6 linked regions of the Canis lupus familiaris genome follow. The protein of the gene in region 1 purifies or fractionates together with the protein of each later gene. This does not show direct contact. Links are inferred from orthologs where the notes say so. Each region holds a gene or a part of one and is shown on either strand. Other genes may lie near its edges.

Region 1 (4,799 bases):
CTGCTGGCCTCCAGCAGGCCTTGCTCTGGGGGCTACCCCTCTCCTCCCCACAGGAGCACTTCCCCAATGCTTGTCTCTGTACCCTGGCCAGCCCAGCCCGACCACAGGTCACATGTGGAGAGGGAGGCAGCTGGGCAGAGAGGGGGCAGAGAGATGTTCCAAGTACATGCTGCCCCAGAGCTGGAGGGCCCCAGGGCACACCTGCCCTCTTGGTCTCCCAACTTGATGCTAAGGTTTTCCATAAGTCTCTGCAATCTCAGGGGCTGCTTCCTGGGTCACTGGGACCCCCATGTAAGCTCTGGGGGACAGGCATCCCCTCCCCCATTCACCCATCACCAGCCTGGTCGTTGCCATGGAAATAGTAGCTCTGTTCTCCTGTTTCTCTGGGCTTGGGGTCTCAAGTGACTGCTGAGGATAATGATCTGGGATCTCTGCTCCCCTTCTCTGCTTCCCTCTCCCCCAGGAAGCCTGGACTTCCTTGACCAGGGCTGGGATGGTTCCTGGAGGAATGTCAGAAGGATAGGGGGTGGATGAGGGATGCCAGGGATGTACCCTAGAAGTTACTTCCCGTTAGCACCGGGGATGGGGCATTGCCAGGCCAGTCAGCCTTCTGTGTTTCCCAGAGGTCCCTAAAATCCCAACTCTATCTTTATTCTGTCCTGCCAATGATAATAGAAAGCCTTGGAGGGGGATCCCTGGGTGGTGCAGCGGTTTAGCGCTTGCCTTTGGCCCAGGGCGCGATCCTGGAGACCCCGGATCGAATCCCACGTCGGGCTCCCAGTGCATGGAGCCTGCTTCTCCCTCTGTCTATGTCTCTGCCTCTCTCTCTCTCTCTGTGTGACTATCATAAATTAAAAAAAAAAAAAAAGAGGGATCCCTGGGTGGCGCAGTGGTTTAGCGCCTGCCTTTGGCCCAGGGCGCGATCCTGGAGACCCGGGATCAAATCCCACGTCAGGCTCCTGGTGCATGGAGCCTGCTTCTCCCTCTGCCTGTGTCTCTGCCTCTCTCTCTCTCTCTCTCTGTGACTATCATAAATAAATAAAAATTAAAAATAAAAAATAAAAAATAAAAAAATAAAAAAATAATAAAAAAAAAAAGAAAGAAAGAAAGCAAGCAAGCAAGCCTTGGAGGGGGACAGTTCTGGGAAAGGCTTCCTGACTGGGGCAGGCCGGGGCCGGAATGCAGGAGGCAGTTTGTCTGGCATAGAAGGTGCCAGAGAGGCAGAGCCCCTCCTCCAGCTGCTCCCAGCTCCCTCCAGTGGGGAAGGATCTCCTTTACTTCCTTCTCAGCTTCCAAACTGTGGGAAGTCCAGAACAGAAGTGACTCTGCCGTGTGTCCCTAAGCTGTTTTAGGGGAGGAGACCCTTCATCTTTTTTTTTTTTTTTTTTTTTTAGTATTTTATTTATTTATTCATGAGAGACAGAGATACAGGCAGAGAGAGAAGCAGGCTTCCTGCGGGGAACCCAATGCAGGACTCTATCCCAGGATCCTGGGGTCACGCCCTGAGCTGAAGGCAGATGCTCAACTACTGAGCCACCCAGGCATCCCAGAAACCCTTCATCTTTATTCAGCTTAGCACTTGGACTCCAGGCTCTATAGTTGTTCTTGGAAGCCTGTGCCCGTCCCTGTGCCTGACCCATAAGTGAAGTGTCCAGTCGCCACAGGGACACTTTCTAAGACAGAGAAGAGCCAGAAGGTGTGTCCTGCCTCAGAATCAAGCCGTCCCTGGTTGTAGACTCAGACCCTCCACACCTGGCTCTCTGTCTTGCAGGGTCGGCACGTCAAGACTGGGCAGCTGGCTGCCATCAAGGTCATGGATGTCACGGAGGTAGGGAGCAATGAGGGCAGAGGGCGGGGCAGGGCCCTGAGGAGGGCTGGGGGCTCTTGGGCTCACTCCTCCCATGTCCCCAGGATGAGGAGGAAGAGATCAAACAGGAGATCAACATGTTGAAGAAATATTCTCACCACCGTAACATCGCCACCTACTATGGGGCCTTCATAAAGAAGAGCCCCCCCGGGAATGACGACCAGCTCTGGGTGAGTGGTCCCCACTTCCCTGTGTCCAGGCTCCCTCACAAGTCCCCTGCCTCTGGATGCACAGCGCCTCGTGACTCACGTGGAGTGCCCACATGCTGTGGCCTCTGTTTGGGTGGCCAAGGTGGCCTGGGCTTTGCCTACGCCTCTGTCCTGACCAGGAGCTTACACTGTGCGTGACACACAGTGAGTGACAGCATAACCCTCGCACGTGCTGGGAAAGGTAGTGAGCCCGTTGGTCCTGCCTTCACGCAAAACCGCGGGGGAGCCATGTCCCCAAATCCCTGTGCATGGTGTGGCAGGGCTCGGAGGCTCCTGGTGGAGTGCACACCCTTCCAGATAATCTGTCTAACCCAAACTCGCTGTGGCTCCTTTGGGCCTCCACCAGATTCTCTCCTGGCCCAGAACATTCCTGAGAGACCTTGCCCTCCCAGGCCTGGGCTCGTTCCCAGCCTCGCCCCTTCTGCTACACGGCCCAGCCCCCAGCCCCCAGGAAGAGAGCTTAGGGTGCGTGGTGGCCGTGGTGGTGGGCTTGGGGCTCATTCTAGGTCTTCCCTCCTACCAGTTGCCAGACAGGTACTTACTGAGTGCCTTCTGTGTACCCTGCTTCCAAGGCATTCAAACACACTATACCCAAAGCAAGGGGGGCAACACTCCACTGGGGTCTACCTGCCAGCTGTGTGTGAGTGGGCGATCACGGGGACCAGAGGCTAGCTGCTTGACTGGGCACCTGTCCTTCCCTCCACCCCCTCTCCTGGGCTTGTTGGAGGGAGAGCCCTGGGCATAGATGCACAACAGGCAGTCTCCATATCACTTGTTGAATGTACACACATCCCCTCCAGCCTTTTTCTGCATCAGATGTGGCTTTTGTGCAGTGAAACACCTGGACGGGCCTCCCAATCCCCGGGGCGCTGACGTGGCCACGGCCTCTGCAGGTCCCACTGGGATCTCCACAGGTTCCCTCCTGTAGCCCCCTGGCCAGGCGCGCTGCTTTGCCTACAGCAGGCCTGGAGAGTTGCAGGTTCTTAGTCTCTTTCTTGCCTCTGGGCTAGGCCTTGGCCAACTTCTTTGCTGTGAAGGGCCTGGTGGTAGGTGTCGGGGGTCTGTAGACCCTATAGTCTCTGCCACAGCTCCTCACCCTGGCTGCTGAGCCATGAGAGCAGCCATATACGCCCTGCATACATGAACGGAGATAGGAATGTCACTGTGTCCCAGAAGCCTTTGTTTAGGACTCTGAGACTTGAAATTTTTATGATCCATATTTTGATTTTTTTCAACCATTTAAAAATGTAAAAAACACATTTATTAGTTCCCTGGCCAAAGTTTGCCAACCCACACTCCAGGGCAGCAGTTCTTGTTTCAGGGTGAAGGGTGCCCAGGGGGACCTGACAAAAGCATGTCCCCCCCCCCGAGGGAAATGCGTGCATGCCCATCATTCTGGCTACAGTTTCCAGGGTTCCCAGGGCGCCTTCTTGGGATCCGTCGGCCCTGCCTGCCCTGTTGCCGCTGCATGGCCTCCTCTCCCTGGCTCAGGGAGCTCCTTGGCTTCCACAAGGAGTGTCCCCTGGTCTGCACACCATTTGTGCCCTCCTCTGGGGGGGTGGGGTGGCTGGCAGGGGCGGAAGGCCCTGCCTGATGGATGCTCCCCTTTCTTTCCCTGGTGCCGTAGCTGGTGATGGAGTTCTGTGGGGCTGGCTCCGTGACAGACCTAGTGAAGAACACAAAGGGGAATGCCCTGAAGGAGGACTGTATCGCCTACATTTGCAGGGAGATTCTCCGGGTGAGCGCCCACTTCCCCCTGCTCCAGGCCAGGCCTGCCTGCGGGAGGGAGGCCGCGGAGGGAGGCCGCAGCCGTGTCGTCTTCGCAGGCATCAGCGGCGCTGGGCGGGTAGGGTAGACACGGAGTCCCAGCTCTGGAGAACCATCATGGCGCCTCCGCTGCCTCACAGCTGCCCTGCCGGCACAAGGAGACCTCCAGGGACTGCTGCTCTCAGGACAGTCCCCTTGGATGCAGCCTGTGCCTGGGCTCCTGGATGGGGAGGGGCCGCCTCTTCGGCCCAGCCTGGTCGGCCCCTCTTCGCGGCTCACGTCCACACACTCCCGTGCCCTCCTGCCCCAGGGTCTGGCCCATCTCCATGCCCACAAGGTGATCCATCGAGACATCAAAGGGCAGAACGTGCTGCTGACAGAGAACGCCGAGGTCAAGCTAGGTACGCACGTGGGGCCTCTGACCTCCAGGACTGAGTGTGAGGCCCCTCATTCCCCCTGCTGGCTCATGTCACCTGCCTGGAGGCTGGGAGTCTTGCTCCTGCCCTGAGAGGCCTTGCCCCTTGCTGGAAATCACTCCAGAAGTTTCCTTTGCTCCCTGCATGACCCAGATACCTCTGGGGAGGTGGGACGTTTCGGCTCCTCCTGCCTGTCCCTTGGCCCTCGCCCATTGGTTTTCCCCCAAGACACAGGGAGATTAGGTGAGGCTCTTCGGGATGCTGATGGGGTGGAAGGGGTGCCAGGGAAAGTCTGGGTGCTGCCCTTGGGGCACATGCAGGTGGGGGCCAGGATAGAACAGATGCGGCCCTCTGTTAGGACCCCTCCCTCTGTGTCTTCCCAGTGGACTTTGGGGTGAGTGCTCAGCTGGACCGCACTGTGGGCAGGCGGAACACTTTCATCGGGACCCCCTACTGGATGGCCCCAGAGGTCATCGCCTGTGATGAGAACCCCGATGCCACCTATGACTACAGGGTACGGAGTGAGGGATGGGGTGGGGT
Region 2 (4,799 bases), on another chromosome or scaffold:
ACCTGATTGTGGAGACCGTTCACCAGGAATGTGAGGGCGATAAGGCTGAGTGGAGGACCATACGACAGACCTTCAGGGCTGAGCTGGGTAGGCCCCTAGAGATCCTGGGGTGCTGAGGCCCTGCCTGGAAGCAGAGGCTTCTGGCCTTTGGGAGGGTCCTGTTCCTGCTGGTGGGCCTGATCCCTTAGTGTTCCCTCTAGGTTCCCCCCTGTACAACAATGAACCATTTGCCATCATGCTGTTTGGGATGGTGACCAAATTTTGCAGCGGCCATGCCCCTCACTTCCCCATGAAGAAAGTTCTCTTGCTGCTCTGGAAGACAGTGTTGGTGAGCATTGCCTTGAAGGGGAACTCAGCTCCTAGGGATCGGGGCAGGAGGGAGACTTTTCATTGTATATCTTTTTAAATGTTGAATTATGTGAAAAACTATATGTGAATTAATATATAACTAACTGCTTTGACACTTTTGTCTCACTATGGTCAAAGAGGACTTGGCCCTTGGGTCGGAATAGATTGTGGGCTCCCTGACTCCTGGAAGCTGCTTCTCTAGCCCTAAAATGCCTTCTTTCCAACCAGGCTGCTTCTGAACCTGGAGCATATAAAGTGATTGGAGGCAGAATTAGAGCTGGTGTAATCGGGTCCCCTCAGTCAGAGGTCACTTGAAGGAAGCAAGAGCGAGCCTTGTGCTAGTGCCATCTTCCTCAGGGTGTGGTATGGAGCCCATTTCTGGCTGGGGAAGGACTGGCCAGCACCCTTGGCTTGGGGCCATTGTCAGCAGCCAAGCCCAGCGCCCTTCCCACCTGGAGGAGTGATTTCAGCAGAGAGCAGCGTTGCAGTTGGGACTCCTCCTCCCCCTGGGGCTCACCTTCCTCCTTCCAGAGCAGGCAAACTCTGCAGAGCCAGGCTCAGTGAGTTAAGGGCCTCTTAATCTTTAGAGTGATGTGCACCTTTTGTTTTGGTCATACATCCCTTTGGTTCCTCACAAAGCCTCACTGAAGCCAGAGGCAAAAGCTGAATTCCACTGGGGTTTTGGCTTCTAGGGGCATGATGAGAGGAAGCTTTTTTTTTTTTTTTTTTTTTTTTCCTTTTTTTTTGTAGTATCTAACTGTATCCCCAATTTGATTTTGAAAGACCGGCATGTACAGTTTTTGAAGTATGTGAGTTTCACGGACTTTTCTACGAACCCGATAGGGTAGGCTTTGCAGTCTGCCTTTTTGACATGTAGAGTATATCGTACATATGGAGCTAAACATGTCCACTAGCTCAGTTAGCCTCCATGTCTCCTTCCCTTGGTCCGTTTTCTCTGCTCCCACCTTGGCATTGCTGAATTCTCGTGTGAGTTCCTTATTCAGAGATTGATGTGGGTCGTGGTATCACATGTGCTTTTGAGCCTAACACAGGGCCCAGGGACCCACTCATGGATGCATTCAGCCCAGCCCTGCCCCTTGTCCACGATGCAGTGCACACTGGGTGGCTTTGAGGAGCTGCAGAGCATGAAGGCTGAGAAGCGGACCATCCTGGGCCTCCCTCCGTTGCCTGAGGACAGCATCAAGGTGATCCGTAACATGAGGGCTGCCTCTCCGCCGGCGTCTGCCTCAGACTTGATTGAGCAGCAGCAAAAGCGGGGCCGTCGGGAGCACAAGGTGAGGGTAATCGATGTCCCCTGTGACTCCTGAGAGTCTCAAGGTGCATGACATGTAGCAGCATGATCCCTGTGTGAAAAGGGCTGTTAGAAATCATCTCTGACCAGCTGGTCCAAATGAAGGCCTCTGGGCCAGGGATTCTGTGTCTCTAGCCCAGGGCCCAGTTTATTATAGGTACTCACACATGGCTTTTTTTGAGGCTCTGGGGCAAGAAGGCCTTTGTTGTTTTGGCTCAGCTTTGGCTTCCTCTCAGGCTTTTCCACTGCCCTTGGCTCTGCCTACTACCTTCTGTGATAGAGCCTCTCTAGCCTCCTTGCCCTTAATGGTTGCTTGGTTTGTCCCTCTGTTTTCAGGCGCTGATAAAACAGGACAACTTGGACGCCTTCAACGAGCGGGATCCCTACAAGGCTGATGACTCTCGAGAAGAGGAAGAGGAGAATGATGATGACAACAGTCTGGAGGGGGAGACATTCCCCCTTGAACGGGATGAAGTGATGCCTCCCCCACTGCAGCACCCACAGACTGACAGGCTCACCTGCCCAAAGGGGCTTCCATGGGCTCCCAAGGTCAGGTGAGGCCCAGACATCTGGCACACTCCTGGCTTCTGAAACCAGAGATCTCCCACCCCCAGGCCTGGCATCTGGCCTGAGTCACCATGGGAAGTCCTCTGTAGGGCCAGGCCAACCGTGGCTCTGGGATGAAGCTGTCTTATACAGTACCACATGTTGGCCCAGAGGTCTCGGGGCACTGGCCTTGCACAGAGAGACCCATGTATGGCTCTTGAGTTGGTAATATGAGTTAGCACTTGGTTAGCCATACTAATAAAGGGAGAATAGGGAAAAATGAAAACCAGGACATTTAACTGAATTCATCTCCTCTCACCCTGGGATTGTATGTGGTTTTTAACAGATTAAAAAAGAGTTTTAGGATCATACTTAAGGTGTTTGAAATATGTGTGCATGAATCAGTGGGTGGGAAGGTACCTGCATAAGTAAATGGAGGTGGTATCTGTTTGAAAAGGCACCAGCTTAAGAAATAGATGGACGTGCAAAAGAATACAGAAGTCAGTTTCTTGATCTGAAACCCCAGTTTTCAGTGATCTGTGATGGCAATACAAAACTAGTCATCAGAAAACTGCAAGATGTGCATGCCAATTGTTTAAGACAGGGACCCAGGACACATGTGAAAATATCAGTAGCTGAGAGGTCTAATTGTAATAACTTTAAATATTTGAGAAATTCTTTTGACAAACTTGTTAGCTGAATAAAGTGTGCTTTTCAGTTCGATGTAGTACCTTAATTTTACAGATAAACTAATTACCTGTAACATATTTTCAGGTTATTGATCCAACAATGTTATAAAGGACATTAAAAAAAAAAGTCTAAGGATTTTAGTTCTTTCTTCCTTTCCTCCTTTCCTTCCTTCCTTCTTTCTTTTTTCCTAAAAAGAAAAACAATGGTGGGAGACCTTTTTTTCTGGCTTCACCATTTTTGGGCATTCTGTGTTTTATTGACCATGACACCTTGAAATAACATTTAATAAAAACCTGGTTCTTTCTCTTTGGCAGAGAGAAAGACATTGAGATGTTCCTCGAGTCCAGCCGTAGCAAGTTTATAGGTTACACTTTAGGCAGGTGAGTGTGATCTGAGTTCCTTTTGAAGAAAGGTACTGGGAGTTCACTCTCCTGGCCTTTGGTGTTTGGGGATCGAGGCGAATTCATGTCTGGGCTTAAAACAGGGCTTTCTTTATTCACCAGTGACACCAACACAGTGGTGGGGCTGCCCAGGCCAATCCATGAGAGCATCAAGACTCTGAAACAGGTAGGTGGCATTGAATGAGCTTTTGACCTACTTTGGTCCCGAGTGAGTAAAGTGAGAGCAGCCTTTTGGGAGAAACCTTTTAAGACTATTGTCTGCCCAAAGGAACCTAGGGCGGAGTCATGGGTGGACCGTGGTGATACCCTTTAAAACAGCTCTTTGTAAGTTTTACTTATTTAAGCTGACTTTTTGTTGGAGACTTAACTGGGAGTTTATTAAAGATAGTACTTGATAATTAGAGTTTTAAGGGGCCTGATAAATAGCCCTCCCTTTTCCTAGCCCGAGCTCTAAGGCAATTGAGATAGAGGAGTAGATAGATGGAGATTGAAACACCAGCTTTCTTGCTGATAGAGCGACTGGAGAATGAGGCAAAAGGGCACAGCAGCGACATGCACCCTAATGCTTTACTTCCAGAGTTGGTGGACTCACCTACCCACGGCCAGGCGGTATTGGAACCCTGCTAAGCCTGATCGAGGAGCAGAAGAGAACATAGGCTTTTCTTTTTTCTAAAGAGAAATTCAAAGAAGGAAGTTGGGCTCAGAAAATCCTGTTCCTTCCCTGATACTTGCCAGTCGGCGAAGGGAGAGGAGTGAGTGTATGGAAAGGGGCAGGGGAGATCAGGAGTTTTTTTTACACACACGTATCCCTCCACATGGGAGGAAACATCAAGTGGGGAAGAGGTATCTCCCCTAACAACATGTCAAGAGTGTAAATGTTGATGATATGTTTTTGAAATACGTTTTTGAGATTTGTACAAATGGGCTAAGCAGGCCCTGTGCCATTAGGCTATTTGAGGACTTGGTTCTGAGTCATTGACTCTCCCTTTAGTGGTTTTCTCGTATCTCTTTAGTTATCTGGAAGTCCCTTCTTTCCTTTGTTTTTTCCTAATCTATTGTGTGCTTTTTAGACTGGGTTTAAGAAATATGTGTCCACTTAGAAAAATATTTCAGGATTTGAGTTAGGGATTTTTGTGGTGATGTTAGCTCTCTTTGAGAAGATTGTGTTTGAAGAAAACCGCATGGGGTCTTTGCCAGGGTGTGCGGCTTTGGCCAGCGAATGAGGGGTGTTTCCCCCGCTCTCTCTCCAGCACAAGTACACATCGATTGCAGAGGTCCAGGCGCAGATGGAGGAGGAGTACCTTCGCTCTCCTCTCTCAGGGGTGAGTCTGAGGCCTTCTCCAGTCGCCACCCACTCCCCTGCTGTTCCCAGGCACTGGGCTGGGCCCAGACCACAGAGCTGCCCCAGGCCCTGCCCTCGAAGCTCCCAGTCTCTCTCCCATTGCAGGGGTGGCGGGTTATTAGTATGAGGGTCAAGAGCACAGACTCTGAGCCCATCACCT
Region 3 (4,799 bases), on another chromosome or scaffold:
TGCATATGAGACCCAACATTTGGAATTATATTCAGCATATATGTAGAAACATTTACTAGAATCGTTGGGAGAATAGAAAACAAGAACTGAAGTCAACAAAGTATTATTGGGGCACCTGAGTGGCTTGGTCGGTTAAGTATCTGCCTTCAGCTCAGGTCATGATCCCAGGGTCTTGGGATTGAGCCCCACATTGGGCTCCCTGCTCAGCAGGGAGTCTTCTCCCTCTCTCTTTTTGCTGCTCCCTCTGCTTGTGCTTGCTCTCTCTCTCTCTCTCCTCCCCATCTCTGCATTTAAAATAAATAAAATCTTTAAAAACAACAACAAAAGTATTATTACAGAGATAAGAATTTGAGTTGGTTTTTTAGGGTGTCTGGGGGCTCAGTCTATTAAGCACCCAACTCTTGATTTCAGCTGAGGTCATCATCTCAGAATTGTGAGATCAACTCTTATTTTATAGATAAACAGACCTATAAAGGGAAGGTAACTCTATCAAACTTAGGTAAACTAGTTGTGGAATTAGGATTAGAGTTGAAGTGTGTGTATGCTTCTTGTTTGGGTAAACCCTACCAGATTTGCACTCTGTAGAGAAAGTGACAATTAAATAACCAAGAAGCAGTGTTTGTTTATGTCCATTGTGAAGTAGGATTCGAACTGGCACCATTTCTTTGCTACGTGGGAATATCTTTTTATACTGATACAGAATTCTTCTCTCTCACATAAAATAAATGGAGAATAGATCATGATATTATTGTGTGGCTGTCTACCAAGAGTTATAGAAAAATGATTTAGATGGCTGACCTGCTGCTAATTATGTGATGGACCCAACTTGGTATCTGATCTTTCAAATGCTGACTGATGACAGTCAACCTCTGTTTTCTCTTCCTGTTTTGTTTTGTTTTTTTAAGATTTTATTTATTCACGAGAGACACAGGGAGAGAGATAGAGGCAGAGACACAGGCAGAGGGAGAAGCAGGCTCCATGCAAGGAGCCCGATGCGGGACTCGATCCTAGGTCTCCAGGATCACACCCTGGGCCGACGGCAGTGCTAAACCGCTGAGCCACCCGGGCTACCCTCCTCCTGTTTTTTTATTTCTTCTTTAACATCATTATGAATCTGATTCTCTGAAATGAACCACAGTTTTTGTTCTCTGTTAGTTAAGTTCTACAGCTAGCTGGATGAACACTACAAAGTTAATTTTAAAGTTGTTGGGTGGGGGCAGCCCAGGTAGCTCAGAGGTTTAGCGCCGCCTTCAGCCCAGGGTGTCATCCTGGAGTCCCAGGATCGAGTTCTGCGTCAAGCTCCCTGCATGGAGCCTGCTTCTCCCTCTGCCTGTGTCTCTGCCTCTCTTTCTGTGTCTCTCATGAATAAATAAATAAAATCTTTTTTAAAAAAATAAAGTTGTTGGGTCTTTGTTGTTGTTTTGTTTGTTTGTTTGTTTTTGACAGAGGACACAGCAGGAGGAGGGGCAGGCAGAGGGAGTGGGAGAAGCAAGCTCCCCATTGAGCAAGGAGCATGACCTGGGGCTCTATCTCAGGACCCTGAGATCATGACCTGAGCCAAAGGCAGGACACTTAACCAACTGAGCCACCCAGGCGCCCCAAATTTTAATTCAAAACCTGACTGTAAAATAATTTTGTTTGTCCATATTTCCTTTAGGGGCCTTAGTGAAAACAGATGAGCAAGAAGTAATCAACTTTTTATTGACAACAGAAATTATCCCTTTGTGTTTGCGCATTATGGAATCTGGAAGTGAACTTTCTAAAACGGTATGTGCTTTTCAACTTAGATTCTATATTGTGTTGGCTCTTGGACTACTTTATGCTCCTAGGAGCATTTTCTGCATCCCTTTAGACTTTCTGAAACTTCTATGTATATATTTTCTCTTTTAGATAAAAATTATTAAAAAATGATCTTTTAAAAACCCAGACCCTTAAGAGGAATATAAAATTAAAAACTAAATTTCTCCCTTTTCTCTGAACCTACTTCTCCATGGGTGTATCATTCCAAGCATTTTTTTATGCATATTCAAGTATATGTATACTTGAGCTTCTGCTTACTTTGCTTTCTATGAATGACACCATGACTGGGTAAAAAATTCTTACCTCGTTTCTCCTTGTCAGAACTATGTTGCCATAGCACTGATGTCTTTGATATTGAGTATACAGAGAAATCTTGGGCCAGCCCAAGTTTTTCCTTTTGTTGGTGAACTTGCGTTTTCTGTGTGGATGTCTGTAAGCTTTTTTTTTATTATTTTTAAGTTCATTTAATAATCTTATATCAAATTTTTTTCTGGAAGAGTATCCTCTTTGTGTCTCATTAATTTTTATAGTTTTTAATTTGTTCTGGCCTCTCAGCAACATCAGTTATGCCACATTGTGTATCTTTCCAACCTATCCTTTTTTCCCTTTAATAGCTTTCTACTTCTTTATTTCATGTCATGTGATTTTTCTCAAGGCTACTTTTCCATGTTGCTATTTTTAGCAACATCAACCTCTACTTCTAAAGTATGCTCAGTCACATTGAATTAATTTTTAATTCAGGGACGCCTGGGTGGCTCAGTGGTTGAGCATCTGCCTTTGGTGCAGGGTGTGATCCTGGTCCAGAGATCGAGTCCCACATCAGGCTTCTTGCAGGGAGTCTGCTTCTCCCTCTGCCTATGTCTCTGCCTCTCTCTCTCTCGCTCTGTATCTCTCGTGAGTAAATAAAAATAAAAAATAAAATAAAATAAAAATAATGGAGGAAAGAGTGATGGTGGTAGGAGCTCAGATTGGCAGTTTTTTATTTTTTTTTAAGATTTTATTTATTCATGAGAGACACAGAGAGAGAGAGAGGCAGAGAGACACAGGCAGAGGGAGAAGCAGTCTCCATGCAGGGAGTCTGACGTGGGACTTGATCCCCGGTCTCTAGGATCGCATCCTGGGCTGAAGGCGGCACTAAACCGCTGAGCCCCCAATTAGCTGCCCAGATTGGCAATCAAGTATTTTACCTCCGAATATTTTCCACCCAGTCTGGGATGTATATATTTGGGAGGTATTAATACCTCTGCATTCATTTTTCTCCTTAAACATACAAAAGTAAGTGATGTAGGGATCTATGTGTGTGTTTTTTCTTTTGTTTCTTCCCTAATTTTAGGGCGTTTTGTTAATTTCAGTGGCTTTCTGGGACAGGATCAGAATGGATACAACTGTACTCTGTCATCTTATATCAGTGGTTTCCTATGAATAGGTTTTTCAAGTTGGTTTTTTACGGATGGGATAGGAAAAAAACCATTTCTTTTGTGACATCTCTCCCTTTTTCAGGAATGCCATCTTAATGATCTCTCCCTTGTTTACATTCCTTACCTATTACTAAAGTTAATGCATTCTGAACACATATAGGTTCCCATTAGCTTGTATGACATATCCTACCTGGTATGGTTAATACCTCGTGACTTGTCCTTATTTGCTCCATGCAAGCCGAAACCTTACCACAGTCAGTTTTGGGTTTTGGCGGGGGGGGGTTCATTTGGTTTTGGTTTTTTTAATTTTATTTATTCATGAGAGAGGGAGAGCTGTAGATGGAGGGAGAAGAAGGCTCCCTGTGGGGAGCCTGATGCGGGACTCAATCCCAGGACCCCAGAATCACGACCTGAGCCAAAGGCAGATGCTCAATCACTGAGCCAAATGTCCCCACATTCAGTTTTTATGTTTAATACTTAGTCTAACATCTTGCTATAGTAGGTACTCAGTAAAGCACAGGGTGTCAATCAAGGCTGTGTGGAATGATCACCTGTGAAGTGGTTTTTATTTTTGTTTTTTGAGAAGGGGGAGTGCAGGAGGTGGGAGCAGGGAGGAAGAGAGCATCTTAAGCAGGCTTCACATCCAGCACAGAGCCCAACCCAAGATCATGACCTGAGCTGAAATCAGGAGTTGGATGCTCAACTGACTGAGCCACCCAAGCACCCCACTGAAGTGTTTTAAAACTAGAGATGCCCAGGTCCAATCTCTGACCTACTGAATCATTCTCTAGGGTAGTAAAGTCTAGACATTGGTGTTTCTTTAAAAAAAAGTCCCTGTAATTGAGTGTATAGTATAACTGTTTTGGGAAACTATTTGGCAGTATGCACTATCAACACAAGCCTACTGTTTGACCCAGCAGTCTCACTCTTGGGTATATATCCAAGAGAAATGAGCTCTTGTATACATCACAGATGTATGTATAAGAATGTTTATAGCAGCAGTATTCATAAAAGATAAATTGTAGTATAGCCACAAATAAACTACACAATAATTAGGAAGAATACTGATATGTGCAGCATAGATGATACTCATAGGGATTATATTGAGCAAAAGAAGCCAGCACATTTATGAATTCATATTTAATGATTCCATTTCTGTGAAAGTCAAAAAAGCGGCAAAACCAGTCAGTGGGGATAAGTCTGAATACTGTTTACTTCTCAGGGAAGGGTGGTTTGGTTTTTTGTTAAGATTTTATATATTTGAGAGGAGAACGCACAGAGCAGGGGGACAGGCACAGGGAGATGGAGAAACCGAGTCCCCGCTCAGCACAGAGCCTGATGTGGAGCCCTGTCACAGGACCCTGAGATGATAACCCGAGCCGAAGTCAGACACTTAGCCAACTGAGCCACCCAGGCTTCCCTCTCAAGGAAGGATACTGACTGAGGAAAGGCACAACAGAATTTCCTGGAGTGTTGGAAAGCTTTCATATTTTAATTTGGCTGTGGTTCATAAATGTGTACATATGTAAAAATTTATTAAGATACACTGAAGATTAGGGCACTTTGTGCACTATACATATT
Region 4 (5,514 bases), on another chromosome or scaffold:
CAGGGTTCCTCACAAAAGTCTGACACAGACCCGGCCTTCAAGGGTCTCACAAGAGAAGTCACACCTCTGTAAGTATTAAGTGTTCGGGCAAAGGTGTGTAAAAAGAGGTGCCGCTGATGGGAGTGTGTGGAACTGTGGGGCAACGTGGCAGAACCAATCACCATTTTATAACATAGCTTTCTACCATTCCACCCACCTATTCTGCTTTATACCCACATGGGAATATAAAGATATTCACTGCAGCCATTTCTGATGGGGGAAAAGCTGGAAAGAAGCTGAAAGCCGATCAGCAAGGGTCAACTAAAAGAGCTATGGTACAAACAGCAGGTGAAACATAGTGATCAAGAACAGTAAGAAAGCTCTCTGTGCTGATAGGAAAGGAATACCAAGACATGAGAAACAAGTATGTGACACGAGAAACAAGTATGTCAAAAAGTCACAAAATGATATGTATGTGACCTCATATTTTACACATAGAGCTGAACTACTTTTCTAGCAGTAACAGTTACAGAGAAGAGCAGGAAGGTGGGGGGGCTGGGGGGCTGATCTGTTAAGCATCTGCCTTCAGCTCAAATCATGATCCCAGGCTGGGATCTCCAGCCTCCCCCCTCCCCCCACCTATGCTCTCCGTCAAACAAATAAATAAAATCTTAGGGGAAAAAAAGGGCAGGAAAGGGACAAAGTGAGAGAGAGAGCTTTCTCTTTTCATACACACATATATATGTACATATGCACATACTTCTGAGACCTTTGCATTTCCACTAATGGGACAGAACAAAAGGAAAACAAAAGTATAAAACACGTGATGTGGCAGCCTAGACATGGGACAGCCTAACTGGGTGCTATCTACAAGTTCCTCTCACACTCCAAGAAGGGCCGCTGGATAAACATACAACTTTTCTTTAAAAAAAAAAAAAAAAAAAAAAAAAAGATTTTATTTATTTACTCACAGATGCAGAGAGAGAGAGAGGCAGAAGGAGAAGCAGGCTCCATGCAGGGAGCCCAAGGCAGGACTTGATCCTGGGTCTCCAGGATGACACCCTGGGCCAAAGGCAGGCGCCAAATCACTGAGCCACCTGGGCTGCCCCACAGCTTTTCTTTCATTAGTCTCAAACATGAGAAGGTGGTACGGTGGGTGCTGCAGTGTACACTGGCATAAAGTCCCAGAGACCAAGATTCAATCCCAGGTCTAGTTATGACTGTTGTCTAGGATGACTCTCAAGAGGCCACTGGGCTTCTGTGGAACATTTTCCTCATCTGTATTGGGCAGCAGAGAGGTATGGAGAATGGGCTAGCAGCCCTGCCACCCACGGGCTGTGATCGTAGAGCAATCACAGACTGTCTCTCTCTCTCAGAGCCTCCCTTTCTCTTCTGATTCTTTTCTCAAAAAGCAAGGGTGGGGGAATAGGATCACTCACCATCCTAGAAGGATTAAATGATACCATGTATCTAAAGTGCTTCATACAGTTCCTGGCACTGCATATGTGCTCAATAAACAGCTGCTGTCATTACTGCTGAGTGAGGACTATGATACCTGCCCGGTCTCCATAATGAGGTACTGAGATCTAGCTGGATGTATGCTGGGAAAGAGCTCTGGGAACAGAGTTGAACACAAAAGTAAGGGGTACTTACATAAGGATTCCTCTCCTACCTCAATGCTAAGCCTCAGCTATCACACAGCTAAGATCCCTGGTGGGGGAGGGAGGGGGAGAATTATGGAATGTCTCTTCATTCATCCTCTGGACAAAATTTTTAAGTTATTTATTTGGTGCCCCCATATCAACTAGACAGGAAGCTGTGAACCAGAAGGAGAAAACTGAGTTGCTAGAAGTTGATACCGGTTTCTGCTAATTATACCCCAGCCCAGGAACCCTCAGAGTCCTCAGGGCCCATTCTTGGATCCCTTTAAATCCTCACAACTCTGATGCCCCATCCTCCCGAAACTCTGCAAGCAGACCCATTCTGCAAGCAGACCCACACTTCTCAAGGTCGTGAAATCCAGCCCAACTCCTCAGCCTCTAATAAACTTCATCTCAGGGCACACTCCTCTCCCAAGCTACTCCACAAACCATGGGAACCTTCTGCAGACACATCCTCTCTCAGAGTCCTGAGATGCTTCTTCAACACTGCCTGCCTGCTCTGCAAAATGCTGCCCTGCCATCCTCCAGGTATCCCCCACTGTGAGTCCTGTTCTCCAGCCCGGGGCCCCTTATCTCCACGTTGGCCAGCACCGCACTCCAGTCCAGAGTTCTCCACCAGGCATCCTACACACAGCTCCATCTCAAGGCCTTCCCCCCCACCCCGCACTCCTCCACACCCCTCAGACTGGAGTTTCAGCTCTGCAGCCCTTCCATACAGGCTCCTGGAGCAAGTCCTGGCCCTATCTACGCTTCCTCGCCCGGTACCCCTCCCGCCTGCACTCCATAGCCACACATGCCAGGGCTCCCCAAAGTTTCCTCCTTCCTTAGAGGGGAGGACACACATCTTCCTGCCGGGACCCCTCGAGGCCCTTCTCTCATCCCAAGTGCTCATACAGCCATCTTCCAGTTCCCCCCAACCCCGGACAAGTGCTCCTAAACGCACCCCGTCCCAGGCTCCCTGACTTCCTCTCCCCACTCGACTCACTGTCGCCCTCGGCGGCTCCCAAGTCCCCCCGACGCCCCCTTTCTCTCACCCAAAGCCCATCAGGTTCCACCTCTAACCCCTCACCTGCTCGGGGACGGGGTGGGAGCCCCGCGGCACCTTTCGGGCTTTTGCTCGCTCCCAACAAGGCCCCCCGAGTCCTCCCACCACCCTCCGCTGAGTCCTGGGCTCCTCTCCAGGGAGCGTCTGCCGGTCCGCTCACTCCCACTCCCGCTCAGCCGGCTCGGGTCCCCTGCGCCCCTCCTCTCGGCCGGTCCCGGTCGGATCCTCCCGCCTGTGGGGCCCCGCTCCCGCCTCGAGCCGCCGGGCGCCCTCAGGACCCCCCTCGGACGGCCCCTCACTCAGTCTCCGGGCCGGTCGCGGTCCCCTCCCGCCCCCCCGGCCGTCCCGGCGGCCATTGCTCCAAGATGGCGGCGGCGGCGGCGGCGGGTGAGGCCGGGCCGGGCCGGGCGGGGGGTCGGGGGTCCCGGGGCGGCGCTCACCTGCAGCTCGGCGCGCTCGGCCTCCCAGCGGGCCTTCTCCGCTTCGAAGCGCGCCCACTCGTGCTGTATAAAGTGCAGGATGCCGGGCAGGCTCAGGGGCTCGGGGCCCGCCGTAGGTCCGGGGCTGCCTCCGCCGCCGCCTCCCTTACCAGCCGGGCCGGGCCCCGGGGCAGGGGCAGAGGCCGGGGCCGCCCCGGTCGGGCCGGGGCCCGCGCCAGAGCCGAGCGGGCGGCAGGAGGAGGCGGCGGCGGCGACCGCGGCGGCCGCTCGCTCCTCCATCATGGAGGCCCCGGGGCCGGCCCGCGCGCCCGCTGTGCCTCGCGCGCCTGCGCGGCCGTACCACCCCCCCCCCCCCGCCCGCGCGCGCGCTCGGCGGGGGCCGGTCGGGGGGGCGGTGATGGGAACGTGGCCGGGCACGCGCCTCGCCCACCCGGGTCGACCCCGAAGCGCGCGCGCGGGGGCGGGGGGAAGGGGCGGGGCGGAGGCGCGGGCCGCGAGGAGGGCTAACGAGACCCAGGCCCAGAGCGAGGGTCGCGCCGGGGGGAGAGCAGGACTTTGGGAAGAGCCGCTTTCCGCCCCCTCTCCTCCGGCTTCGTTCCAACCCCCTCCAGACCCAAATGTCACTCTCCTTGCCACTGTCCCCCTGAAAGAAAGGACGACCACCAGGGGTGGTTTCAGCAATGGCCCCATCCTCTCTGGTTCCTGGCTCAGGTCGGTAGTCATGGTAACCCTCCCCCTTTGTGGCAATGGAGCGCCAAACCTCTCCCGTCCCTGCACCAGGAGGAGGTTGCTAAGGTAACCTAAGTCCCTGGTGGTCCTTCCCCCCTACCGGCTCTTTGGTTACTATGGCAACCTCACCTAGCGCTCAGGTAGAGAGGACCCTAGCCCCAGGGACGCTGACTTGCTGAGAGAACACCTCTTTCCCAACCCCTCCCCCTAGCCACCCAGCTGGCATTACCATGGTAACCATCCCCCTCCTTCTCATCGTGAGAGCCAGGACCAAACCAACCAGGTGTTTTTATTTAGAGGAGTAGATGCTCTGCTGAGGAGTGGTTGCTATGGTTACAGGGCCTGGACCAGGAGGTGGAAATGGGGAAAAGCTAACCCCTAGTTACTATGGTAACATGGGCAGTCCTCCCCTTCCAGAGACCCTAAGAGCAAAGCTCACCAAGGTATGGGACCTTTTAGGATTGTGTCTCAGGATGGAGTATGTCTAGGGAAGGGGTTGTGGTTGTCATGGTAACAGCTTTGGTTACTTCTAGCCCCACCTTTCTGGACACATTCATAAGAAGGGGATGGTTATAGGTCGTTATGATAACTGACATCCTTCCCACCCATTCCCTAGACACTCCAGATGGTAGGTGAGCTTATGGAACAAGAGAAAAGATTCTCTGATCTTCTCATTGCCACTTTTGTAGGTAAGGTGAAATCATACTCTCCTGTGCAAAATTGGCTGATTTGGGGTTTTCTGGTTCTTGTTCCCTCAGCAATGCAGCTGAGCTGGGCTGGAACCACCCACCCGGAGCTCCCACAGCAGCCTCAGAGGTAAGAAGTTCCTCAGTGTCACCAGCACTCGTGTAGAAACTGCCCTCCCCACGTCTCTCATTTTCTCTGCCTGTCGTGTTCCCATGCCACAGATGGAGCAGCCAAGGCTCAGTCTAGAGCAGCACTCGGGCCAGGTGAACCTAGGCCTCAAGTGAATCTGGATCCTTTTATATTGTTTTGTGGAGAACAGAGACAAAGTCTCAGCTTAACTGTCCTCTCCTCCCCGGACCACCTTTTCTCTCTCACACCCCTCTCTGGTTTCCTGACCTATCTGTAAGGTGTGTGTTTGTGGTTTTTGTCTCCCTCTCTGTGGAGGGCCTGCCCAATGACTGCCTCGCTCTCTCCCTGTCCCCAGAACACAGGGTCTGGCCCAGAGGGTACTTAGGAAATATCTGTCTGTTGGTTGAGTTGATGAAAAGCACCTATCGGGTTAGGGCTGCAGAATACTCACTGAAGGTAGACAGTGAGCTGGGCTGTCTGAGTGGACCCAAGAAAGACAGCAGAGTTTATTGGTTGAAAACATGACTGGGGGCCAGCTTTGTGGGTCAAATCCTGAGTCCACCGTTTCCCAGCTATGTGACTTTGAATGAGTGACTTCACTTGTCTGTGCTGGTTTTTCCCCATCTTTAAATGTGATCAGGGGTAGCCCTGGTGGCTCAGGGGTTTAGTGCCGCCTTCAGCCCAGGGTGTGATCCTGGAGGCCCCGGGATTGAGTCCCATGTCAGGTTCCCTACATGGAGCCTGCTTCTCCCTCTGCCTGTGTCTCTGCCTCTCTCTCTGTATCTCTCATGAATAAATAAATAAAATCTTTAAAAAAATAAATAATAAAAAATAAATAAGTGAT
Region 5 (5,390 bases), on another chromosome or scaffold:
AGCCCTCAGGTTTGGATGTAATGCCATTTAATAAGATAGGTAATAGAAGAGAAATAGTTTTTTTTTTTTTTTGGAAGGTGGGTGGGAAGGAAAATAGAAGGATTATCAATCTAGTTTTTACTTAAGCTTGAGGTACCAGTGGGAAATATAAGTACTCATGTTCTTCTTTTGATGCCACATAACAGAGATCAATTACATCTACTCACCTACATTTCTTTGAGACATATTTGGAACTTTTTCTTTTCTTTTTTAAAGATTTTATTTATTTATTCATGAGAGACAGAAAGAGGCAGAGAAATAGGCAGAGGGAGAGGCAGGCAAGGAGCCTGATGTGGGACTCATCCCAGGACCTCAGGATCACATCCACAGCCAAAGGCAGACGCTCAACCACTGAGCCACTCAGGCACCCCTGGAACTTCTTCTATACTATGAGGCCCCTCAAAAAAGGAAGAGGACTGAATAAGCAGGTTTTATGCTGGTCACTATAAAATGGAAAAATAGTACTTAAAAATATGGAGAAACAGTTTTTAATAATATGTGACCTAAGACCTCACTCATTTCATAGACAAAACATGGCAGCAGGGGTAACAGATCATCACTAAACATAGTAAGAGTAGACATGATTAAGTAAGATGTACTATTTTAGTCTTTTTGAAATTATACTTTGAGTGGTGCTGTGCATTACACAGTGAGAGTTTTACTGGTAGTAGAGAAGAAAAAAAATAATGCGATCAATTTTATGTGCAGTTTTCCCGCATAGCTGTAATTATTGAACCTTTTTTCCTTATTACATTGTTAAACATTATTCTTGTCCTATTTTTCAACCAAGTGGTTATTAGCTATATTAACTTTCTTTAGAAACACAGTAGTTCATTAAGGATGTTTCCTGGCAACCTAAGCATATAAAACACACACAATGGTACTTAAAAGATTAAATGTGTCTTTTAGGTGTATATTACATTCATTTAAACATCATTTAATGACCCAGGAAAACATCTTCGCGGCTGTTCATCTAGGATTTTATATTGTATTCACGACGCTTTTATTTTGTTTTCATCACAAGATTCCATGAATGCCACCTGTGAACCCTTTCATTCTAAAACACCGAACTGTTCGTCTAACAAGTCTCCTTCAAAGTTACCTTTCTCTCTCTCCCCCCGTACCATCGTCAAGATCTAAAGCTTTTCACTATTCCTTCTCCCAAGAAAAAAATGAAAACATTCACTCCTGCTCCTCCCCCCCCCCCCCCCCGCGCCAACCCACCCCAGAATAGGAGAAAGAGGGGCGGCAAAGTGGAACAAGCTGCGTCCCGCGCCCGGGAGCACGGAGCTAGGACACCGAGACCCGCAACCAGTCACCGTGTCCGGAGGGGGCTGGGCTATCTGCCAAAAGAGAACGTCCATCCCCAAAGCCTCAGGAATGACGGGTACTTAGAGCGAGTGACAAGCGGAGGAGGAGGCCCGACCCTCTGGGACGTCCTGAAACACGCCAGGAATGCGAAAGAAACGCCAGGCATCCCGGGCGGGCGGCAGCCGGCCAGAGCGCCCAGCAGGTTACGACGGTCCTGGAAGCAGGCATGCGGCTGGCCCCGGGGGGGGGGGGGGGGGACGACGCTCAAGGGGCTGCTGACTGAGCGAGGGAAACTGACGGTTGGGAGCGCCCGAAAGTTCGGGTGGGTGTCCCGCAACACAGCCCAGCCCAGAGGCCGCAGCGAGGCACCGGGGCAAGCCGGAGGAGCGCCTGGGGGCGGGGCCAGAGCCCCACCCCGCCTCCAGCGCCCTCACGAGCCCTCAGTACGCCTGCGTAAGGCGAGGCCGCACTCTATTTGGCTGCTAGGCGCGCGGCGGCAGCGGCGTTCTCTACCCGGCATGCTGCGCGGGAGCGACGGCCCTACGTCTCTCCCCTTCCCAACCCAGCCCCCTCCCCCCTCCCGCCGCGGCCCCCCCTTTCCCTAAAGTGAGTGAGTGAGACGGGCAGATGGAGGAGGGACTGTAATGGCGGCGGCCGGCAGCTCCCTGCTCTGACCCGCGGCAAGCGTACGGCAACGACCCCCTCCTCGCCCCTCTCCCAGGCGGCCTCCGCCCCGCCGGCAGCGCGGGGCCACCCTCCCCGGCCCTTCCCCCAGCCGTCGGCTTCTCGCCCTGCGCCCCGGCCGGGGCCCCACACACAATGGACGAGCTCGCCGGAGGCGGCGGTGGCGGCCCGGGGATGGCGGCCCCTCCAAGGCAGCAGCAAGGACCTGGGGGGAACATGAGCCTTTCGCCAGGGGGGAATGGAGCGGCGGGCGGCGGAGGTCCTCCAGCCGCCGAGGGAGCGGGTCCCGCGGCAGGCCCGGAGCTGTCCCGGCCGCAGCAGTACACTATCCCGGGGATCCTGCACTACATCCAGCACGAGTGGGCTCGCTTCGAGATGGAGCGGGCGCACTGGGAGGTGGAGCGGGCCGAACTGCAGGTACCTCGCTGGGGTCGGGGTGCGGGACGGCTGCGGCGGCGGGGCTCCCGGCCGGGGGGTGGGGCCGGGACTCCCCTCGGTCGGAGCCCCGGGCCTGGGGGGCTGGGGGCAGCCTACCTGTGCAGCTCGGGGGGCGGTAGTCCTGCCTACGGCTCTGGCGACGGCTCTCCCGAGGGCCCCCCTCCCCCTTTCCCGCAGAAGCTTGTTCCCCAGCCCTTGCTAGCTGCGCGGTGCGGGCTTCCTTGGGGCAGCCATTTTGACTTTTAGTATGGCGTCTGCGGGGGCTCCTCTGGAGGCGGCCTGCCGGGCCTCCGGGGCTTGGGGCAGAACTCCTCTCAGTGGGAGAGTCCGGCGTGGGGTGACGGGGCGCGAAGCTTGCAGCTGACTGCGCCTTCTGCGAGGGAGAGCCCGAGGGGAGGGTTTGCGATGGGCATTTCATTACCTTTTCCTTTTTCACCCCCCTATCCGATTTGGCGTTTCTTGGGCCCCTCTCCCGTAGTTGGTGCGCACTTGCCCCTTGACAGCCACGCTTCTTTCCAGGGCTGCCACCGAGCGTAGTGTCCTGCTGCTGACTTGGGAAGTTGACGTTTCCTACCGCCAACTTTAAGTACCTTCTTACCTGGGATGCTGCCTTACTTAGGTTCCCTCCCGGTCAGTTCTTCCCAAGCGACTGACTCATCATCACTGCTTCTCTAAATTGAATTTTTCTTTCGGGAGTACCCTTCCTTCCCCGGGCCTCCAGCCCCTCCTTTAGCCCTGTGAAGCCGAACCAGAGTCTCTCTGCCGTGTTTAGGAAACAACCGAGGAACGATTTAGTGTTACCTTGAAGTGTGACACGTACTTGTCCCACGTTAACTGACTCGCGCAGGGGAAGCAAGGTTAAATATCCCCAGAATCCTTCATAATTGAGCCTTACTTGATCTTTTAAAGGTGAAACTTTGCTAGGCTGGTTCACCTAACTTGTGGAGGAACGTTGGTAGTTGAAGAGCTCACGTCTTGGATTTCAGAATGGCTACATCCTTTTAAGAGGATTGTTCAACTCTTGGGTACTTGTGTTTATTTTTAAATCCCTTTCCAGGGCAAAATTAGGCTTAGAAGGAAAAAGCATGCATCCAAATAGTGTTGCACCTGTTCTTCAGACTGGTATATATTTAGAATGTAAGTAGTAGTGTTCGCTGATATATATATATATCATATATGCCTACGGTGAATAGTTAGGAAGATACGGTGTTGCAGGAAGGAAGACTGGATTAACTTAGGGTGTCTTCAAACAAATATATATTTTTTTAGTTTAATTTTGAATTAGTTATCTTTGATTCTACAAAGTTAGTGAAGCTAAACTTTTAAAAAGGACTTTTATATATCTTGACACTTTATCAAGTCTTCATATCTGATCTGATTCTTTTTTTTTCTGAATTTTTTAATTTATTTATGATAGTCACAGAGAGAGAGAGAGAGAGAATGGCAGAGACATAGGCAGAGGGAGAAGCAGGCTCCATGCCCTGGGAGCCCGATGTGGGATTCGATCCTGGGTCTCCAGGATCACGCGCTGGGCCAAAGGCAGGCGCTAAACCGCTGCGCCACCCAGGGATCCCTTTATCAAGTCTTCAAAAAACTTAATTATAAATTAACACCTGTTAGTCAATTCAATGTTTTAGAATTGTGTTTTGATATACTGTAGGACTTTTAAAAATAGAACTTTCCAAAAGCTTGTATCATAATTGTCTGTAGTTTCTTTTTTCTTTTCTTTCTTTCTTTCTTTCTTTTTTTTTTTTTTTTTGTAGTTTCTTTTAACTTGTATGTATGTAGTCTAGTTTAAAATATCTGGGATTTATAGAGTTTTGCTGATAAACAACTTTTTACTACACCATGTTGCAAACAGTATACTGTATGAAGATAATAAGACGGTTATTTTTAAAAATTGCATTTAAAAATGCACTGAGGCTTAGACTCACTAAATAATACCTCACCAGTCCCTGGATATAGTGTCTAATGACCTCTGCACTGTTGTATGAAAGATTGGTTTTTTTTTTTTTTTTTCCCCTGCCCTAGAGGATGAGACATTTATTTTGCCCTGTAAGCACCCGAAAGCTTGGATTTTAACACTTTGTAAGTTAACAGTGCATTAGTCATTTATAAGCTTCACTAATTTAAGTATCTGAGGAAATAGCTTATTTGTGTCTAAATTAAAAAAAAAACCTATAATGAAGTCTATATGTCTGCCTTAGCCCTTTCTTTACTTTTTAGTTCTCTTTGCCAGTAACAGTGAAGTCTTTTAAGGAAGATTCCTTTTGCTTGTTTGCTTTCCAGTTGATCTGCTATTGTAATACTAGTTCTGATAAAGCCTTTCTAAGCTTTTTTTGTTTGCTTACTTTTAAGAAGTTCTACAGTGTCTCTAGACTCTTAGTTTTTCCTGGGATTTTCATTATTTCACACTGATTCTTTTGAAATGGAATGTGCATGATTCTGTTTGTTTTTGTTCTACATATTTTTCTAAAATGTTATATTGGGTTACTTAGTTAAAAGGGTTTCAGGTTTGTTTCTGGAATATCGAATTTGCTTTAGGTACTTTCAGTCTTTAATAAGATTGCTTGTGAGATGCACATTTAACAGTGTATATGTCAAGGGGCACCTGGCTGGCTCCCCTGATAGAGCATGTAGCTCTTGATCTCCAGGTTGTAAGTTTGAGCCCCGTGTTGGGTGTAGAGATTACTTAAAAAAATAAAATCTTAAGAAAAAAATGTGTCAAATAAAAAATTTATTAAGGTTTCAGTGAAGTGTCAACGGATTTTAACTGTAAACTTTATTTTTAGGAATGATAATGTAGAAATAAGAGAGCTTAAATATTATTTTGTGTATAGCCTCAGATCACTTTGATGTGTGGATGAACAGTGACTCAGAAATGTTCAATATTAGAACTATTCAATGATGAATATGAA
Region 6 (4,799 bases), on another chromosome or scaffold:
TTTCCATGGAGAGTAACTGGAGTGAGTGAGAGCTTCCTGGGGAGAATGGCACCTCAAATATATAGCCATTGGCCACTCAAAAGCTAGAGGGAACCCACTGCTGGCAAAGAAGGCAGTACCAACAAAATCATGAGGGCAGAAAGGACATGTGAGGGAATTTATCAGCATTACTGAAGCATGAAGTTTAAGGCAGGAAGTAGAAGAGATGCAAGTAACTAGATTAAGGTAGGATTTCTTTTTTTTTTTTTAAGATTTTATTTATTTATTCATGAGAGGCAGAGAGAGGCAGAGACATAGGCAGAGGGAGAAGCAGGCTTCCTGCGGGGGGCCCCATGCGGGACTCGATCCCAAGACCCTGGGATTACGCCCTGAGCCAAAGGCAGATGCTCAACCACTGAGCCACTCAGGTGCCCCTAAAGTAGAATTTCTACAACATATTAAGGTACTTGGAAATTATTCTGTAAGCAAAATGAACCACTGAAGGGTTTTCGAGGAGCAGTAGGTTTAAGTATTTAATATGGTAGCTATCACTGTAGTGCAGAAGACAGACTGGAGAGAATCAAGATGAAGGCAACAGGACTGCTTCAGTAGACTGGGAGAATGATGGTGTAGACCCAAGAGAGGACAGTGGTAAAAGAGGCAAAACAGAAAGGGTAAATTCAAGAAATATTTAGGGGGTAATATAAAAAAGACTAGGTAATTAATAAGGTGTGGATAGTAAACAGAACAAGACAAAAAGGATAACTTGTAGGTTTCTAGTTTGGGTAATTTTGGTGGTGCCACCACTAATAAAGAATATATGGGAGAAGAAACACAACACTTGTGGGGAATTTATGGACAATGAGGTGGCCACTTTGAAATGTTCTGTAGGCAGTGTGAGGCTTAAAGAAGAGATTGATGAGTCAACAGCATGCAAAACCATAGAAGTAGATTCAGTCTACCAAAAAATATGTGTACAAAGCAAAGAATGAATAGGTTCTGGGCCTTGATAAATGCCAATATCTAAGGTGGGAAAAATAAAAGTTTAGGAAGGATAGGAGACAGAAATTGTCACAGACTTAAATGTCAAAAAAGCCAATAATGGACACATTTCCAAAAGGATGGAATAATCTACAGTTTCAGATAGCCAATATATCTAGCAAAATAAAGACTGTAAAATACTTCTTGGATCAGCCAATTAGGGAGTAACTGATAATCTTATCATATTTAAGTGGTACAACCGATGATAGAATGCACAGTGATGATGCACAGGGAAAGGACATGGAATTAGTAACTCTTGATTGCATTTTCTAGTCATTACCACCAGAGACAGATGATGAAGAAAAAGCCACACACAGGAAAATGGAATCAAGAAAAGGCTTTCCTTTGCCCACAATAGTAGTTACCTGAATTTACTTATATGCTGAGGGGATAAAAAAGAAAAGAGGGCAAGGCTTACGATGAGATTGAAACAGAGCAAGAGAATCAAGTTCAGTCTCACCAGAAACAAGAGAGAATGAGGTCAAGAGCAAAAGGGGAAGAACTGGTTGGCCTGGGACAGAATGAAGACAACTGATCCTCTTGACAGAGAAATAAAGGAAGTAAGGAAAAACACAAAGGGGGTTTATCTTTCACAAAAGATATGTTAACTGCTTATTAAATAAATGTTGGGAAAATTTTTTTATTGAATTTCTTAGGTTTGGTAGTAAAATTAATCTAAAGTGAAAATGAAAATAAATATGGTTTTAGGACATATATGACACTACACTTCATTCTAGAATTTAAGAAAGAACATAAGAGGAAGCCAAAATAGTCAATTCCTAGACAGTTTTTGCAAGAGAATTAATTAATGGTAACATATAGTGATAGATTATAATGTGGATTTACGTTTCATGGTACTGTTCCCAAGACTAAAAAAGGGGGCACTTCTTACTTTTTAAGGCTTTTCAAGTATTTTGGTGTCATGGAGTTTAAACCATGACATCATTAACCTCTACACACTCCAATAATTGATCAAGAAGAGATTCCAACATTCATTTTCCTTCAGTTATTTGTCAAGAATAGGAATGAAACATGATTACAGATTAGTAATAATCTATCAAATAGTGTACAGATGCCTATAAAATGAAAAAAACAATTGTCAATCAAGCCAGCATTTCCAATCAATAAAACTTTGGAGGGGAGGGGTAGAAACTGCTTTTTCGGGAATAACATTTTTTTTTCTTTTAGCATTATATATCAAATTGATTCCTAAATGCAAGAATCCTTTTTAACAAAATAAAGACCTTATTCTCTTTTACCAATTTACTTTTAAAAATATCTCATTTTATCCTTGTATATGCTATGGAAAATGTGTAAAAAGAAAACAATTTATTCTTTCATATCTTCGGGGAAACACCTACCATAAGAGTCATAGGGATCAATGTTGGGGTTGGTGGTATTCCAGCCCTGGATCAGTCCATCAGTACCACCACTGTAACACTGCTCACCATTGCTGCTCATTACCACACAAAGCACTGGACCTCTGGGAGATAAAAATCAATTTCTATTCCCAAAAATCAATCTGATAATAGGACTTGTTAGAAATAAGAATGCTTAATTATTCATATGGCTATTTTTCTGCTTTTTACAATAAATAAAAATACTATAAAAGCATTGCTCATTTTTTTTCTTCTGCTAAACCAGAGATTGGCAAACTATAGCCTGTGGGCCAAAGGCAGGCAGTTTTTATACAGATCTCAAGCTAAGAATGGTTTTTACATTTTTTAAGGGGTAATTAAACTAAGCTAAAAACAAGAATATACAACAGAAAATATATGGCCTACAAAGCTGAAAAAGTATTTACTATCTGACCCTTTATATGAAAAACATGCCAATCTCTGTGCTAAATCAAGTGAGTTAGTGTATTTCTTAAGCTTACATGAAAATAGGAAAAGCATGCAATATTATCATTTAAAAATTCTTCATATTTTTACCTAGATTATTTTTAAGGGAAAAAAAGGTCAGGATTTTTAATATATAAACCTTATTGCATCAACATATTTTAAGCACAAGATATGTAACATTTTAAACATCGTCCAAATAAAATCTAATTTCAGCAAGGATCTCTGGTAGGAATAAAGTTGTTTTTAACATTGCATTATCTGCCAGTTTCTTTTACATTTGCCAGAAAAAAAAACAAACAAAACCAAACAAAAATGCTACTAAATACAAAAAATACGTAACATAAATACTCAAGTGAAAGAAAATAATCAGGCTGATATACAGTGATGCTGACTTAAAACAGAGAAAAAGCACATACTTACTTATGAGCCCTGAATGTATAAATAGGTTCCACATCAAGAGAAGTACTCCTAAATCAGAGAGAGAGAGGACTTTTACCACTCCAAGTTTCAGTAGTAAACAGTATTAATGAATATATGCTGCAAAATTGCCTTTAGAAATACCAACACTGTAGTAATATACCATTCTCAACCTAGGACACTTAGGAAAGTTTACCTGACACCAATCACATATTTCTGTGGCCTTAAGAAACAAAATCCTTGTTTAGTAATAATACCTGATTATAGTGCTCTTAGCATTGTCATAGTTTATTTGACTATTTGAGAGAACCACACTCAGAAAACAGCATGGGCTTTGAGAAAAATTTCTGGATTCAAATAACTGGCTAACTCTAGGCAAATTATCTATTCTTTTGAAACTTCAGATTCCTCTCTATTTAAAACAAAACAGAAAAACTGGGATAATATCAAATACAGGATTAAATGAAATTCTGTAAGTAAAACAGCCTAGGACAGAACCATGCACACAGTAGGATTTCAATAAATGGTACTTTAATTTCTTTGCATTTCCATCAATGCTAATATGACTGTCTTTGATACTTGGATAAATTGTCCCAGTCATCAGTTTATTCAGTATTCAGAACACTGAATGTATTGATACTCTACATTGCCTAATACTGGCCATGACTGTAAATTGAAACTGGATTTAAAGTCAACTATTTACCATCTCTTATATTGTATTGAAGCTTTTTATAGGCATATGCTTTCTCTCCTCAAGCATTTCCAAAATGTTAAGCTCAAGGTAAACAGACCATGTTAATGTCTGTTAATGTCACAGACCATGTGAAGGTATTATTACTAAGCTATCACCAGCAAGAAACTTGTTTCAATATTTTTCTAAGTTTTAGTCAAGAATATACGAGGCATTCACATTCTCTGATCTAATGAGATGCACACTGTAACCAGAGAAGTAGAAAGACAAAAGGCACAATTTATAACTAAGAAATAATTTTTCTCTGCTGAAGATATCTGATCCAAAAAGGATTCTCTTGGTGTCAGCAAGATCTGGTTGAGCTATCTGAAGAGGAGGGATAAATCAAGAAATCAAGTATTTTATCTAGTCTACAGATGACTCACAGTGGGAATGTCACTGATCTCTCAAATTCAGCAACAGCTATCCTCTATCAGTAATAAAACTTCCATAATCTCCTCCAGTTCACATTTATTTCTACTCTTCTAATAATAAAACTGTCTGACACTGGAGAAAGGCCCTTGTGGGCACATGCTGGGTTCTAGACCACCAGATTCAAGGACACAAGAACAGGGACTCCCTGTAAGCACCCCAGCAAGTGGGGCTAAGACTAGTTTGGTGACTGATAAAAGCGTCTATACCAACCCATGTCTGTTCATGCTTACAGAGGAACAAAGGGACCAAGCCAAGAGCTGGCAGATAAGTGACAGCAACAATGCTGCCATTCCAACTATACCTTTTGTGGGTATGAAAAGTACCTAATGGGATCAAGGCAAAAAGACAAAACC

Evidence for each region.
Region 2: the proteins of MINK1 (region 1) and STRIP1 purify together in Homo sapiens (affinity purification with mass spectrometry; 3 studies listed by BioGRID and IntAct, with this or other methods). This does not show direct contact. The link is inferred for Canis lupus familiaris from reciprocal best matches to the Homo sapiens genes MINK1 and STRIP1.
Region 3: the proteins of MINK1 (region 1) and CNOT9 purify together in Homo sapiens (affinity purification with mass spectrometry; 3 studies listed by BioGRID and IntAct, with this or other methods). This does not show direct contact. The link is inferred for Canis lupus familiaris from reciprocal best matches to the Homo sapiens genes MINK1 and CNOT9.
Region 4: the proteins of MINK1 (region 1) and STRN4 purify together in Homo sapiens (affinity purification with mass spectrometry; 3 studies listed by BioGRID and IntAct, with this or other methods). This does not show direct contact. The link is inferred for Canis lupus familiaris from reciprocal best matches to the Homo sapiens genes MINK1 and STRN4.
Region 5: the proteins of MINK1 (region 1) and STRN3 purify together in Homo sapiens (affinity purification with mass spectrometry; 3 studies listed by BioGRID and IntAct, with this or other methods). This does not show direct contact. The link is inferred for Canis lupus familiaris from reciprocal best matches to the Homo sapiens genes MINK1 and STRN3.
Region 6: the proteins of MINK1 (region 1) and STRN purify together in Homo sapiens (affinity purification with mass spectrometry; 3 studies listed by BioGRID and IntAct, with this or other methods). This does not show direct contact. The link is inferred for Canis lupus familiaris from reciprocal best matches to the Homo sapiens genes MINK1 and STRN.

Annotation. Positions count from the first base shown.
Region 1 is NC_049226.1:31,926,233-31,931,031, reverse strand, and holds part of MINK1 (misshapen-like kinase 1), read left to right. Parts: intron 1-1,771; coding exon 1,772-1,828; intron 1,829-1,911; coding exon 1,912-2,037; intron 2,038-3,703; coding exon 3,704-3,814; intron 3,815-4,153; coding exon 4,154-4,244; intron 4,245-4,642; coding exon 4,643-4,773; intron 4,774-4,799. UniProt on the Homo sapiens protein: Serine/threonine kinase which acts as a negative regulator of Ras-related Rap2-mediated signal transduction to control neuronal structure and AMPA receptor trafficking.
Region 2 is NC_049227.1:42,377,513-42,382,311, reverse strand, and holds part of STRIP1 (striatin-interacting protein 1), read left to right. Parts: coding exon 1-87; intron 88-200; coding exon 201-328; intron 329-1,460; coding exon 1,461-1,643; intron 1,644-1,996; coding exon 1,997-2,214; intron 2,215-3,210; coding exon 3,211-3,276; intron 3,277-3,399; coding exon 3,400-3,463; intron 3,464-4,547; coding exon 4,548-4,619; intron 4,620-4,799. UniProt on the Homo sapiens protein: Plays a role in the regulation of cell morphology and cytoskeletal organization. Required in the cortical actin filament dynamics and cell shape. Part of the striatin-interacting phosphatase and kinase (STRIPAK) complexes.
Region 3 is NC_049258.1:25,078,177-25,082,975, forward strand, and holds part of CNOT9 (CCR4-NOT transcription complex subunit 9), read left to right. Parts: intron 1-1,657; coding exon 1,658-1,767; intron 1,768-4,799. UniProt on the Homo sapiens protein: Component of the CCR4-NOT complex which is one of the major cellular mRNA deadenylases and is linked to various cellular processes including bulk mRNA degradation, miRNA-mediated repression, translational repression during translational initiation and general transcription regulation.
Region 4 is NC_049222.1:109,881,356-109,886,869, reverse strand, and holds the start of STRN4 (striatin-4), read right to left. Parts: upstream 3,408-5,514; coding exon 3,126-3,407; intron 3,073-3,125; exon of another isoform or gene 3,035-3,072; intron 1-3,034. UniProt on the Homo sapiens protein: Calmodulin-binding scaffolding protein which is the center of the striatin-interacting phosphatase and kinase (STRIPAK) complexes.
Region 5 is NC_049229.1:10,486,503-10,491,892, reverse strand, and holds the start of STRN3 (striatin-3), read left to right. Parts: upstream 1-1,964; 5' UTR 1,965-2,169; coding exon 2,170-2,451; intron 2,452-2,568; exon of another isoform or gene 2,569-2,836; intron 2,837-2,893; exon of another isoform or gene 2,894-3,036; intron 3,037-3,070; exon of another isoform or gene 3,071-3,216; intron 3,217-3,273; exon of another isoform or gene 3,274-3,427; intron 3,428-5,390. Other genes in the region: small nuclear ribonucleoprotein-associated protein B'-like, read left to right, coding at 1,412-1,955. UniProt on the Homo sapiens protein: Calmodulin-binding scaffolding protein which is the center of the striatin-interacting phosphatase and kinase (STRIPAK) complexes.
Region 6 is NC_049238.1:29,441,919-29,446,717, forward strand, and holds part of STRN (striatin), read right to left. Parts: intron 3,333-4,799; coding exon 3,285-3,332; intron 2,504-3,284; coding exon 2,382-2,503; intron 1-2,381. UniProt on the Homo sapiens protein: Calmodulin-binding scaffolding protein which is the center of the striatin-interacting phosphatase and kinase (STRIPAK) complexes.